Rattus norvegicus: one gene and its partner. The protein of the gene in region 2 purifies or fractionates together with the protein of the main gene of each other region. This does not show direct contact. Links are inferred from orthologs where the notes say so. Each region holds a gene or a part of one and is shown on either strand. Other genes may lie near its edges.

Evidence for each region. Proteins that work in one complex are often made in the same cells at the same time.
Region 1: the proteins of Larp7 (region 2) and Ccnt1 purify together in Homo sapiens (affinity purification with mass spectrometry; 10 studies listed by BioGRID and IntAct, with this or other methods). This does not show direct contact. The link is inferred for Rattus norvegicus from reciprocal best matches to the Homo sapiens genes LARP7 and CCNT1.

The regions. Positions count from the first base shown.
Region 1 is NC_086025.1:131,568,484-131,574,777, reverse strand, and holds part of Ccnt1 (cyclin-T1), read left to right. Parts: intron 1-787; coding exon 788-951; intron 952-1,101; coding exon 1,102-1,172; intron 1,173-2,705; coding exon 2,706-4,103; 3' UTR 4,104-6,294. UniProt on the Homo sapiens protein: Regulatory subunit of the cyclin-dependent kinase pair (CDK9/cyclin-T1) complex, also called positive transcription elongation factor B (P-TEFb), which facilitates the transition from abortive to productive elongation by phosphorylating the CTD (C-terminal domain) of the large subunit of RNA polymerase II (RNA Pol II).
Region 2 is NC_086020.1:218,672,641-218,678,236, reverse strand, and holds part of Larp7 (la-related protein 7), read left to right. Parts: intron 1-1,620; coding exon 1,621-1,780; intron 1,781-1,911; coding exon 1,912-2,003; intron 2,004-5,596. UniProt on the Homo sapiens protein: RNA-binding protein that specifically binds distinct small nuclear RNA (snRNAs) and regulates their processing and function.

The DNA.
Region 1 (6,294 bases), on a different chromosome or scaffold from region 2:
ATTTGAGAGAGCAACTTTTTTTTTTTTTTTTTTTTTTTTTTTTTTTTTTTGAGACCTAGTTTTGTTTAATTCAGTCTTGAACTTCCACTTCCCATGTTTTGGGATTATTGGCATCTGCTACTGTGTTGACTTTGGTTGTTTTTTCTTTTGGTTTTGGTTTGAGACAGACAGGGTCACACTAAATAACTCTGGCAATCTTGGAATTTGCTATGTAGACTAGGCTGGCCTCAAACTCAAGAGACCCACCGCCAGCCTTTGCCTCCCAAGTGCTAGGATTAAAGGGAGCCTCACATCAAGGCTGACTACCTAGCTCCTTTGTTTTCTTTTCCTTTTTTTTTTTTTTTTTTTTTGGTTTTCTGTTCACTAATCAGTGTGTGATCCTAGGAGATTTAGAAATGTCGTTAACCTGAGCAGTATTTCAATAGAAAATCCTATTGAGGTGCTGAGGAGTTTAGCTCTTCCAGAGGACCTGTTGTGATGGTACACCGTCACCTGTAACTCCAGCCATAGGACATTAACATCTCTGGCCTCCCTGGACACCCTCGCTTGTGCTTATACCCCAACACAGAAGTGTACATATAACTGAGAGAAAATCTGTAAAAAAAAGGAGAGAAGGAAGTCATGTTGCATGCTGAGTCAGAGCACAGGATACTTCTTGCCCTTCTCGCTCTCCTGTGATTTTGTTTTTGGTTTTTTTGTTTTTTTTTTTTAAATAATGGAGAGTTTTAGTTTAGGGTTGAGACTCGAGGGCTCATGACACTCTCTGTTTCCTTCCCTTTGATGTCAGCCTGCATTTGACCACATTTAGCCTGCAGTACACACCTCCTGTGGTGGCCTGTGTCTGCATCCATCTGGCTTGCAAGTGGTCCAACTGGGAGATCCCAGTCTCAACTGACGGGAAGCACTGGTGGGAGTATGTTGACGCCACTGTGACCTTGGAACTTTTAGATGGTAAGTTTTAGTGTAAGGGACCTTGAAACGCACGTCTTGATTTGTCACATATCTGGCCAGACATGACCTGAAAACAGTGAGTTAGTTGAGGTTATTCTTGTTATTATTGCATTCTTGTCTCTGAGCATTTCTTGAATGTTTCATTTGTAGAATTGACACATGAATTTCTACAGATTCTAGAGAAAACACCAAGCAGGCTGAAACGTATTCGGAATTGGAGGGTAAGACAGTGCTGACAAACATGTTGTGTGTTTCTTTTGACTGCAGCAGTGCGTATGCCAGAATCCATGTGTGCACTGGCTTTGGAGTTTCCTTCTTACTTAACAGTAGCTGTGACTTTATAGCATGGGTGTGAACTAAGATTCACTCTTTAGGGAATAAAAGAATGTAGGGGAATGGTGGAATGGATGGAATTATAAGGTCAAGTGTAATTTTCTCTATGATATTAGTTACTTTAAAAATGTTTTAGGGCTGCTGAGGTGGCTCAGTGGTTTAGAACACTGGCTGTTCTTGTAGAGGTCCTGGGTTCGATTCCTAGTACCCGCATAGTGACTTATGATTACCTATAAAGGGATCTGATACCTCTCTGACATACAGGTATGCATGCAGATAGACACTCCTACACTTAAATAATTAATTAGTTAATTAATTAAAATGTGAAACCTTTAAAAATGTTTTATTTTTCTCTTTTCCTTCCTCCATCCCTCCCCTCCCTCCTTCCTTCCTTCTTAAAAAGATTTATCATTACAGTTGGGCATGGTGCTGCATACCTTTAATGCCAGCACTTGGGAGACAGAGACAAGAAGATCTTTCTGAGCCTGAGACCACCTGGGGCTACATATACTGAGACCTGGGGGTGGGGGAAGATTGATTTTTATTTTTGTGTATGAGTGTTTGCCTGCATTTGTGTGCATGCAGTACCTGTGGAGGCCAGAGGTGTCAGATCCTCTGGAACAGGAGTTAAGTGGTTGTGAGCCACTAGAGCTGCTGGGAACAGAACTCCTCAGCAGCAGCAGCAGCAGTTTTCTTAACTGCTGAGCCGGGTCTTTACCCAGGGCTTTCTTCTTCAGTGGGTTGCAGTGGAGCTGTGATGCCGATGTCTTAGTCTTATGAATAAGAAAGAGTCCCTCCCTTTCCCGCCAGTGTCAGACGGACTTGGAAGCACTCACATGCACAAGGCCCTGCATTCAGTCACCTGCACTCAGAGACGGACTAGATCCTTCCTTTGCCCAGCTCCTCTGAGATAAGGTCTCTTGGAGCTCCGGCTGGCCTTGAGCCTTGCTGTTAGGAGGCTGACCTTGACTCTTGATCCTCTTGCCTCTGCCTCTGGTTTAAGTCCTGGGGTTAAGTGCTGGGATTGCAAGCACGCACCACCATGCATAGAAATTTCCTTTATTTTTTATTAGTTCAGACTAATTGTAAGTTTGGCGAATTATAATTTTTGCCTCTAGAAGCTTAGAGTTTCTTAAATCTTTTCTTTTCATACAAAGCCTCACAAATTTTCTAGAACTTATTTAAAGGCTGGCCGCAGCCCTAGGCAGTTATACTGAATGTTTAAGATCGGCTTCCTTTTCTCGGTGTAAATGAGTGCCTCTTAAGTACTCAGGGGTAGAGGCAGGAGGATCTCATATGCCTGGTCTCAAACAAAAACCCACCTCCAGTACAACAAAGGAACAAAAAGCCATGAACAAGTTCTCTGTAGGTGTTGTTTCCGTGTATTGCAACTTAGTAAAATGCTTGTTGCTTCATTCTAGGCATACCAGGCTGCCATGAAAACCAAACCGGATGACCGGGGAGCGGATGAAAACACATCGGAGCAGACGATTCTCAATATGATTTCTCAGACCTCTTCAGACACAACTATCGCAGGCTTAATGAGCATGTCAGCCGCGTCTACAGGTGCAGTGCCTTCCCTGCCTGCCTCTGAAGAGTCCTCGAGCAGTCTAACTAGCGTGGACATGTTGCAAGGCGAGCGGTGGCTGTCTTCTCAACCTCCCTTTAAACTAGAGGCTTCTCAGGGTCATCGGACTAGTGAGAATTTAGCACTTATTGGAGTTGATCATTCCTTGCAACATGATGGTTCGAATGCATTTGTTTCCCAGAAGCAGACTAGCAAGAGTGTGCCATCAGCTAAAGTTTCACTTAAAGAATACCGTGCAAAGCACGCTGAAGAGCTGGCTGCTCAGAAGAGGCAGCTGGAGAACATGGAGGCCAATGTGAAGTCACAGTATGCATATGCTGCCCAGAATCTCCTATCTCATGACAGCCATTCTTCAGTTATTCTGAAAATGCCCATCGAGGGCTCAGAAAATCCTGAACGTCCTTTTCTGGATAAGGCTGACAAATCAGCCCTGAAAATGAGACTCCCAGTGGCTGGTGGAGATAAAGCGGCCTCTTCAAAACCGGAGGAGATAAAAATGCGCATTAAAGTGCACTCTGCAGGTGACAAGCACAACTCTGTAGAAGACAGTGTTGCCAAGAGCCGAGAGCACAAAGAGAAGCAGAGGACTCACCCGTCTAACCACCACCACCACCACAACCACCACTCACACAAGCACTCTCACTTACAGCTGCCAGTTGGCCCTGTGAGCAAACGACCAAGTGATCCAAAACACAGCAGCCAGACAAGCACCTTAGCACACAAAACCTATAGCTTGTCTAGTACTTTGTCTTCTTCAAGCTCTACTCGTAAAAGGGGGCCCCCAGAAGAGACTGGGGCAGCAGTATTTGATCATCCAGCCAAGATTGCCAAGAGTACTAAATCATCTTCCTTGAATTTCCCCTTCCCGCCTCTTCCTACAATGACCCAGTTGCCTGGGCATAGCTCAGACACAAGTGGCCTGCCCTTTTCACAGCCTAGCTGTAAAACCAGAGTTCCTCATGTGAAACTGGATAAAGGCCCTCCTGGGGCTAACGGTCACAACACAACTCAGTCAATAGATTATCAAGATACTGTGAATATGCTCCACTCCCTGCTTAGTGCCCAAGGTGTTCAGCCCACTCAGCCCCCTGCATTTGAATTTGTCCATTCTTATGGTGAATATATGAATCCGAGAGCTGCTGGCATCTCCAGATCTGGCAACACAGACAAACCTCGGCCACCACCCCTCCCGTCAGAGCCCCCTCCACCTCTTCCACCTCTTCCTAAGTGAAAAAAAAGGCAAAAACTTCAAAAACAAAAAACACTTTTTTGTTTTGTTTTTTTCTTTTTTGTTTTGACTACTGATACTAGACTACGAAAATTACATCCCTTATGAAATATGTCACCTAAGGAATAGATTGCTATTTGAGACAGGTGGGGGGTGCTGGAGGGCCTCAGTTATTACATCTGCTGCCTCCTACACCTGTAGTTGGTACCGGTGTTAGAGAGGTAGGGTTGTGTGGAAGCTGTGAAGGAGGACTAAGAACGCGCTATGGCCTCTCCTCATCCTAACTAGGTTGATTGGAGTAGTTCTCTTCCCTCTTCTCGCCAGAACTGGAATGTGGAGGGCGTGTCCAGCAGTGTGGATTCTTTTGGGGTTTAACATATCAGAAGAGAGGAAGTATTTAAACGTCAAATCTTTAAGAGACTTTTAAAAAATAATTTAAAGAAAGTAAGTTATCTGTTTAGTTTTTTTTATATATAATTGGGAAGGGGAAAGGGATTTTGCTGTGTGTATGAGGAACATAGCAATGACTGGGGGTCGGAGGGTGGGAATGTGTGCAGGTTGGGCGGGAGGGTAGGCTTTGGCCAAGAGTGAAATAGGCTCAGGCCACTTGAAGTATTGAGATCTTTAAAGTGTGTGCGTGCGTGCGTGTGTGCGTGCGTGCGTGTGTGCGTTTAAAATCATGTTACCTTTTTCCTCCCACTCTTAGCCATTTTCACATCTCAACATTCTATTAGAGAGCATAGTTGGCCTTGAAGCTATAAAGAGGCCTGTAATGACAGTGTGAGTCCTCCCCTCCCTTCGCCACATGGTTATCTTGTAATTGAGTAGTAGCCCTCTAGCTTCTAGTTTGGGCAGGTGTAGCCAATGCCCTAACTCTCTAGCACCATTATGGAAACTTCCCTTTTACTCCATTTTGAGTTTTCAATGCGGAATGGAAGTGGGCTTGAGGAAGAAGCCTAAAAGCAGGGCTGGCCAATTCCCTACAGAATCCAGGTTGGGCTTTGTGAAAGCTCAGGTCTCTGAAGGGAAGAAAGGTATGCTTGCTTGTCCTCTCTGGAAAAACCAGACCATGTGTGATAATAGGATTGGGAGAAGCCAGGGAGTTAATGATACTAAAGACAATGAAATTGTGATTTGGGAATCTGAAGACTTTGTGTTTGTTACATTATGAATGTAAGATTTGCTTTTTATCTGTTTATCTAATGGGAAACAACTGCACACTTGCAGTTTGCAGCCTGTCTGACTTGAGAGACGGTTGGAATTCAACAGCATGGTGTAACGAGTGAGCAAGGCCGCTAACAGACAGTGTTTAGATCGTGTCTTAGTGGGTGGCTTTTGGTTCTAGACAGATGCTTAAAGTCCTTGAAAATGGTCGGTCAGGAGTCCTCTTAGGGGCTTGATTGTTCCAGACATTAGACGTAAATATTTTTGATGAAGGAAATCTTTGAAGAAATGCTGACTAGGTAAAAATTGTAAGCCAAGCTGTCTAACTGAAAATGCTACCTAGCCACAGATCATTGCTGGTTTGTTTTTTTTTTTTGTTTTTATTTTTTTGGTTCATTGCATGAGTGTGTGTGTGTGTGTGTGTGTGTGTGTGTGTGTGTGTATACACGTGTGTATGTGTAGGTTTTTTTTTTTTTTGACTATGGATAAGATGGTGCTATGAAAATAATTTGTCTCTTGTTTTAATTAATGAAGCTTCTGTCGTGCCAAGTAGTTTTTAGGGGAGAAGTCAGATTCTTTTCATTGAAAGTCATAGGGAAACAGAAGTTGTACAGGTGCTGCTTGCCAAGAAGAGACTAGGAAAACACCGAGGCAGTTACTCTTGTGGATGATATACTGGCCCCATAAAGGCAAGAAGGTATAGGAAGGAGTATATCTTAGGGTGACTTTGTGGTTCTTAATCTGCATGTTTGAACTGTCTGGAGTACCTGCCATTGCTGTGCAAAATAAGGAGCTCCTTGCTGAGAAACCAGTGACAGTTCTTGGTGTGTGACTTTAAAGTGACATTTTCTCTCTTGGTATTTCCTGTGTTGTGCAAGATAGATGTGTCATCATGATTACTAAATTTAGGCTTGGCGTTTGTTTAGATTTTGTTTCCCATCCTGACCTTCCCAAAAGGGGATGATATACCCTTTATTTTGTATCTTTGTCTGGAATTGATGATTTGATTTTGGCTGGGTTTTTTTAAATT
Region 2 (5,596 bases):
ATTTGACCTTGGAGTTGTTGAGATATGTATTCAGTGTTAAGCCTTGAAGAGCTTTTCATCGATAAAGATATTTGATGGCATGTTTTGTTTGTTGGTTGGCAGGATTTTTCAAGACAGGCTTTCTCTGTATTCCTGGCTGTCCTTGCACTCACTCTGTAGACCAAGCTGTATTTGCCAACCCCAGGTTCTATTAGCTTACATCTGAAAACATGGTAACAATACAGAATGTAGCTTAATAACCTGACAGTAAGCAAATGCTGTGCAAGCATGGAGGCCTGGACTCAGTCCCAAGCACACAAAGGAGAATTTGGTAATGCAACAGTTGAAAGTCCTGTTGTAATTACTTAGTTGTTCTGAAACAAAAACTGAGCTCTGTTGCTGTCACTGATTACCAGATTAATTTGTCATTATATGGGTTTTTAATTAGGATATTAGCCTGACTTTATAATGGATAAATTGTAAATGCCTTTTGAACTGTGGTACTCTAAACTATCTGAAAAACTGATTATAAAACTCTCACCACGAATAGGAAACCCATTACAGTTTCATCAACTCAGTGCAGACTGGTCTCTTGCTGTGTCTTACGTAGTAATGATTAACTGGGTAACAACATTGGAAGGCTCTCAGGTCTCATTCTCTCTCTCTCTCTCTCTCTTTTTTTTTTTCCTTGATTGATGAAGGAAACATTTTTCAGTATGGAAGTTCCTGTCTTACAGAGCATGTGTTAAGGGTGAGCTTCTGTCTTCTAGGCCTGCAGTTCTCTTGTCCGTCACAGTTAAAGGATACACTCTTTTATCCTACAATAGCTAAAGTCTCAATTTTTTTTCTAAAACATTTTAAAAGAATTTGAGTTATTGTGCCTAGAAAATTCTATTCTATACTAAACAGTTTCTTTATTTCTTTAGTTTTAATGAGTGACATTTAACAATAAGATTACTGTAACATTCCTGCATAAATGCAGTGTGTTCTGTGGAGAACCTGGTGTGAGGAAAAAAACTTGATTAAGAATGCAGGAATCTCCTTAATTAGAGCTCACAGCAGGTGTTATAGGTAAAACTCTTCCTTGCTGGGTGACCTCAGCTTGCTTAGAAAAGGTTACTAAGGTATTTTATCTAAAACTGAGAGCTGTTGGGCTGTGTTCCAGTAAACCTCCCCAAGAGCCTTCAGTTTCTGTCCGTTATTGTACAATGTTGAGAGCTGGTTCTCTGTGTTCATTCACACGTGGTGTTGTGTAGGTGAGTGCGACTCAGCTTCTCCAAGCCTCTCCTCCTTGTATTTTCCTCTTCTTCGTACTAACCTCCTTCCAGCTTGCTGAGCGATGGGCCATTTCTGTTCAACTGTACAAGAGTTCCCTCAGCTGATCCCCTTGTCAGTTCATATTTTAAAGTCACATTCAAGAGGATGAGCTACAGTAATTTGCCATACGTTGTTAAATTGCTTCTCATTTATGTGTAAATGTATTTGAAGAGTAGTTCTGTATATTTTAGAAATATTTTATATATTTACCCATCAACTAGAGAGTAGCTTGATAGAATGCATTTTGTAACCTCTGGTTACATTCGTTTATTGTCAGACATTGTTAAGGTGATTTTTAAGTTTTCATGTTTCTTTCCTGTATAGGATATTTTGGCCACAATCTCAGAAGTTGTTTACATTGATTTGCTAGAAGGAGATACTGAATGCCATGCCCGATTCAAAACCCCAGAGGATGCTCAGGCAGTAATGAATGCACAGACTGAAATTAAAAAGAAGCACAGTTGGAACCTCGAGATCCTTTCTGGTAAAACCCAATTGTGTTTCTGGTGAACACTTATTATTGTAGGGGATTCTTTTACTTGTTCTGCACTGGGCTAATGAACCTCTTCCCCCAAACACTCGAGCTGGTGGTCAGAGCTTTTGCTTCTTTTTAAGGTGATCATGAGCAGAGGTACTGGCAGAAGATTTTGGTAGATAGACAAGCCAAACTTAATCAACCTCGGGAAAAGAAAAGAGGCACAGAAAAGGTAAGGAGTCGTATGCATCTTCTGATGGTAATAAATGAGGATGAGTTCACTTGTATTTCCTCTTAGAGAGTACTGCTTCAGACTGAAAAAGAATGCAGATTTCTCCTGCTTTTGGAGTAGATGGAGTTAAGATGCTTTCTCACAAGGATCCATAACTGTGATTGCATTTTAAGTGGACCCAGTCCTGATTCAGAGCTGCTAGGCTTTGTAGGTTGCGGATAAGTGCCTGTAGAAAGATTTTCTTCTGTACAGGCTTGACACATGTGAAGTTTCTGATGGCCACGTTTTTTATGATAAGTGGCACCAGCAAACTGAAATAATTAAAACAAACTGATTCATTCAACAGTTTTATTTCTATGATAATTAATGTAATATGTTGCTCACTGAGAATGACATTTATTCTATGAAAGCAGATGATTGTTCTTTTAAATATTGTTGTAGTAGAAGGGCTTAGAATAGACTGTTAAGAACTTTGAAAGCCATGGTGCAGATTTCCTATGCATATTGGCTTGGTGTGTTTTTTCATTTTCCTCCTTTGGCATTGATGATGATTGACAGGACACTTGCCACTGTTAGGTTTTGTCAAGTTTTTTTCTTGAGTGGAGACAGGGAGGCCTCCTTCCTTGAGGCTCTTTCTTCTTGAAGGTGTGAATTTCAAAACTAGTTCAGATGGCAATGTAGTAATCCAGAACAGATAGGTAATATTTATTCTGCTAATTAGTGTGAGGGTTTGTTTGAATTGGCTATATTTTTTTGAACTAGTCATTAAAACATTTTATTTTTAATCTTAAAACCTTTTTATTTTATGTATATGTGTACACTGTCACTGTTCTGGTGTGTCCAGAAGAGGGCATCAGATCCCATTACAAATGAGCCACCATGTGGTTGCAAGGAGTTGAACTCAGGACCTCTGGAAGAACAGTCAGTGCTCTTAACCATTTCTCCAGCCCTATTTTTAATTTTTAAATTCTTTATTAATCACTTTAGTCTCAAGCAAAGAAGTGCTTTACCTAGCATTTTGTAAAGTTAAACTGGGATAACAACAAAGCAGTTACTCTTTATGAGTTAACATGCTTCATTATCAGGGATGTTGGCGTGATCTAGATAGGAACAACTGAAGCTAGCTGCCTTCACAGTTTGAAATTCAATGGAGCTGCCACCCAGCTAGAAGAAAGGGAACCACAGCTAACCATTTGCTAATCTCACTTGTTTTCTGGTGCTGGAGATTGAACTCAGCTCCCTGAGGGTGTTAAGGAGTGCTTCCTCTACCTCTGGACTACCTGCCACAGCTGATGCTCTCTGTGCTCCTGCAAACAGAGCAGTAGGCGTGGATAACGCATTCCTGTTCTCCCTTAGCTTGCTTCTAAGCAGTGCCAGTGTGGCACAGAAGATTAAACCAGGCCGCTGTCAGATCCACTTAAAAATTCAGAAGTGCAACATTTTAGGCTAAAGTAATGGGAATTATTAAGTACATAGAGAACAATGACAAAATTTCAGTGATTATGACATAATTCCTTCCTTATATGACAGCTCATTGATTCCATGAGTTAAGGACAAAAAAAAAAAGAAAACAAACAAACAAAAAAACGCAAGCAGATCAACAGAAAGTGTGTTTACTCTCTGCACAGATGTTTGCATATGGCAATCAGGCAAATGTAAATGAACTCAGGATTACGAACATAGGAAACTATGACTTGATTTTCTGCCCCAGGTCTTGGTGGGATGTGCTTTAATTTTCACTTCTTGGAAGCCAGGAATCAGCCAAGGCTCAAGGCTTTGCGGTGCTGGGTGAGGGTTTTTTTATTTCTTCACTTCAGCTGTTTAAATATTCTTTAATACTTTTAATTAATTATTTTTACATTTCATGTAGATGTGCCTGTGCCACAGCATGGAAGTTAAAGGGCAGCTTCTCCTCTTGTCATGTGGGTCCCAAGGATGGAACTCCTGTTGTCAGGCTTTGAAGGAAGTGCCCTATCCCAGAGGCATCTCCCACATTTTTTAGATGTTTGACTTTGTTTTTAATCAAAATGGACTTTTATTGGAATTACTGCTGGATATTACCCAGCTAAAGACAGAATTCCTGTTTGGAAACACATCATTAGTGTGTTAGGCTAGCCAGAATTTTTATTCTTGCCATTTGTAAACAGTGTTTTAATTGAATCCTGTTATGGCCTCCTATCAACAGGTATGACATTAGATTTGATTAATGGATTGAGTGATTGAGACAGGGTTCCTGGCATCACACACTGACCTCAAGCTCACTCAAGCCGAGAAAAGCCTTGCACTTCTGATCCCCTAAAACTAAGCTATAACTTTTTTCTGCTAAGGAAACATTTTGCTGACTGTCTACACCTACAGTCCCAGCTACTCAGGTTTTAGAAGGTGTAATTGGCACAAAAGAATTGTAAAATTAGGTAGGTGTCTTAAGGTCAGCCTGATCTCCATTGTGAGTTCCAGAACAGCCAAGGCTACAGGGAGAAATCCTGTTTGAACAAAACAAAACAGCAAAGAATCACATCATATAAGAGGTAGAGTGAAAGAAAACAAGCCTGGTATGATGGTACCCACCTTTAAAGTAGACAGATACGTGGTATCACATACTTTCTATCCTAGTACTCTAGACACAGAGGCAGGCAGATCTCTTAAGTTCAAGGCCATTGTCTGCAGAGCAAGTTCCAGAACAGCCAGGGATATACAAAGAAACCCTATCTCAAAAAAACCAAAATAGGAACTGGAGAAATGGCTCAGTGATTAAGAGCACTGACTGCTCTTCCAGGGGTCCTAAGTTCAGTTCCCAGCAACCACATGGTGGCTTACAACCATCTGTAATGGGGTCCGGTGCCCTCTCCTGTTGTGTCTGAAGACAGCCGCAGTGTACTCTTATACATAAAATAAACAAATCTTCTCTTTCTCTCTCTTCCTCTCTCTCTCTCTCTCTCTCTCTCTCTTCCTCTCTTCCTCTTCTGCCTTGACACGATAAAAAAAAAATAAATAAATAAATAAACAAATCTTTTAATAATCATAATAAAGTGTACATAATTGTTGAGCACTATAGTCCGTCCCACACTGAATTATCCTTCCAGTAAACGGTTTGTTGTTTGGGTTTTTTGGGGTGGTTTTTTTTGTTTGTTTTTTTTGTTTGTTTGGTTTTCTTTCTGAGAACTGTGTGGCTTAGGCCAGCCTTGAACTCAAAGGGATCCTTCTGCCACTGGAGTGCTGGGATTAAAGATATGTCAGTCACCATGCCTTGCCAATAAACAGTTTGTAAAGCAAACTTGAGAAGTATACAGCCTAGAATCATGACATCCCATTCAAATAATGTATAAATCTTTAATCACAGTGTAATTAAGGGTCTCATAGCATTTAGTCATAGCAATTACTATCCAGGGGGCGGGGGAGGGGGATTCAAAATAATGCTAAGTTGTGGCTCATCATGAGAAGGTAAACGACAGTGAGGAGTGAGTGACGTTCTGTGGAAGCTTTTGAGTAATGAACCGGAATTGGAGGTTTCTAAAAGTTAAGGTCTATTTCATAAAATTCTCCCAGTTCTCTGTAAATTGATTTGATCAAAACGTAATGATCTCATTCGTCTT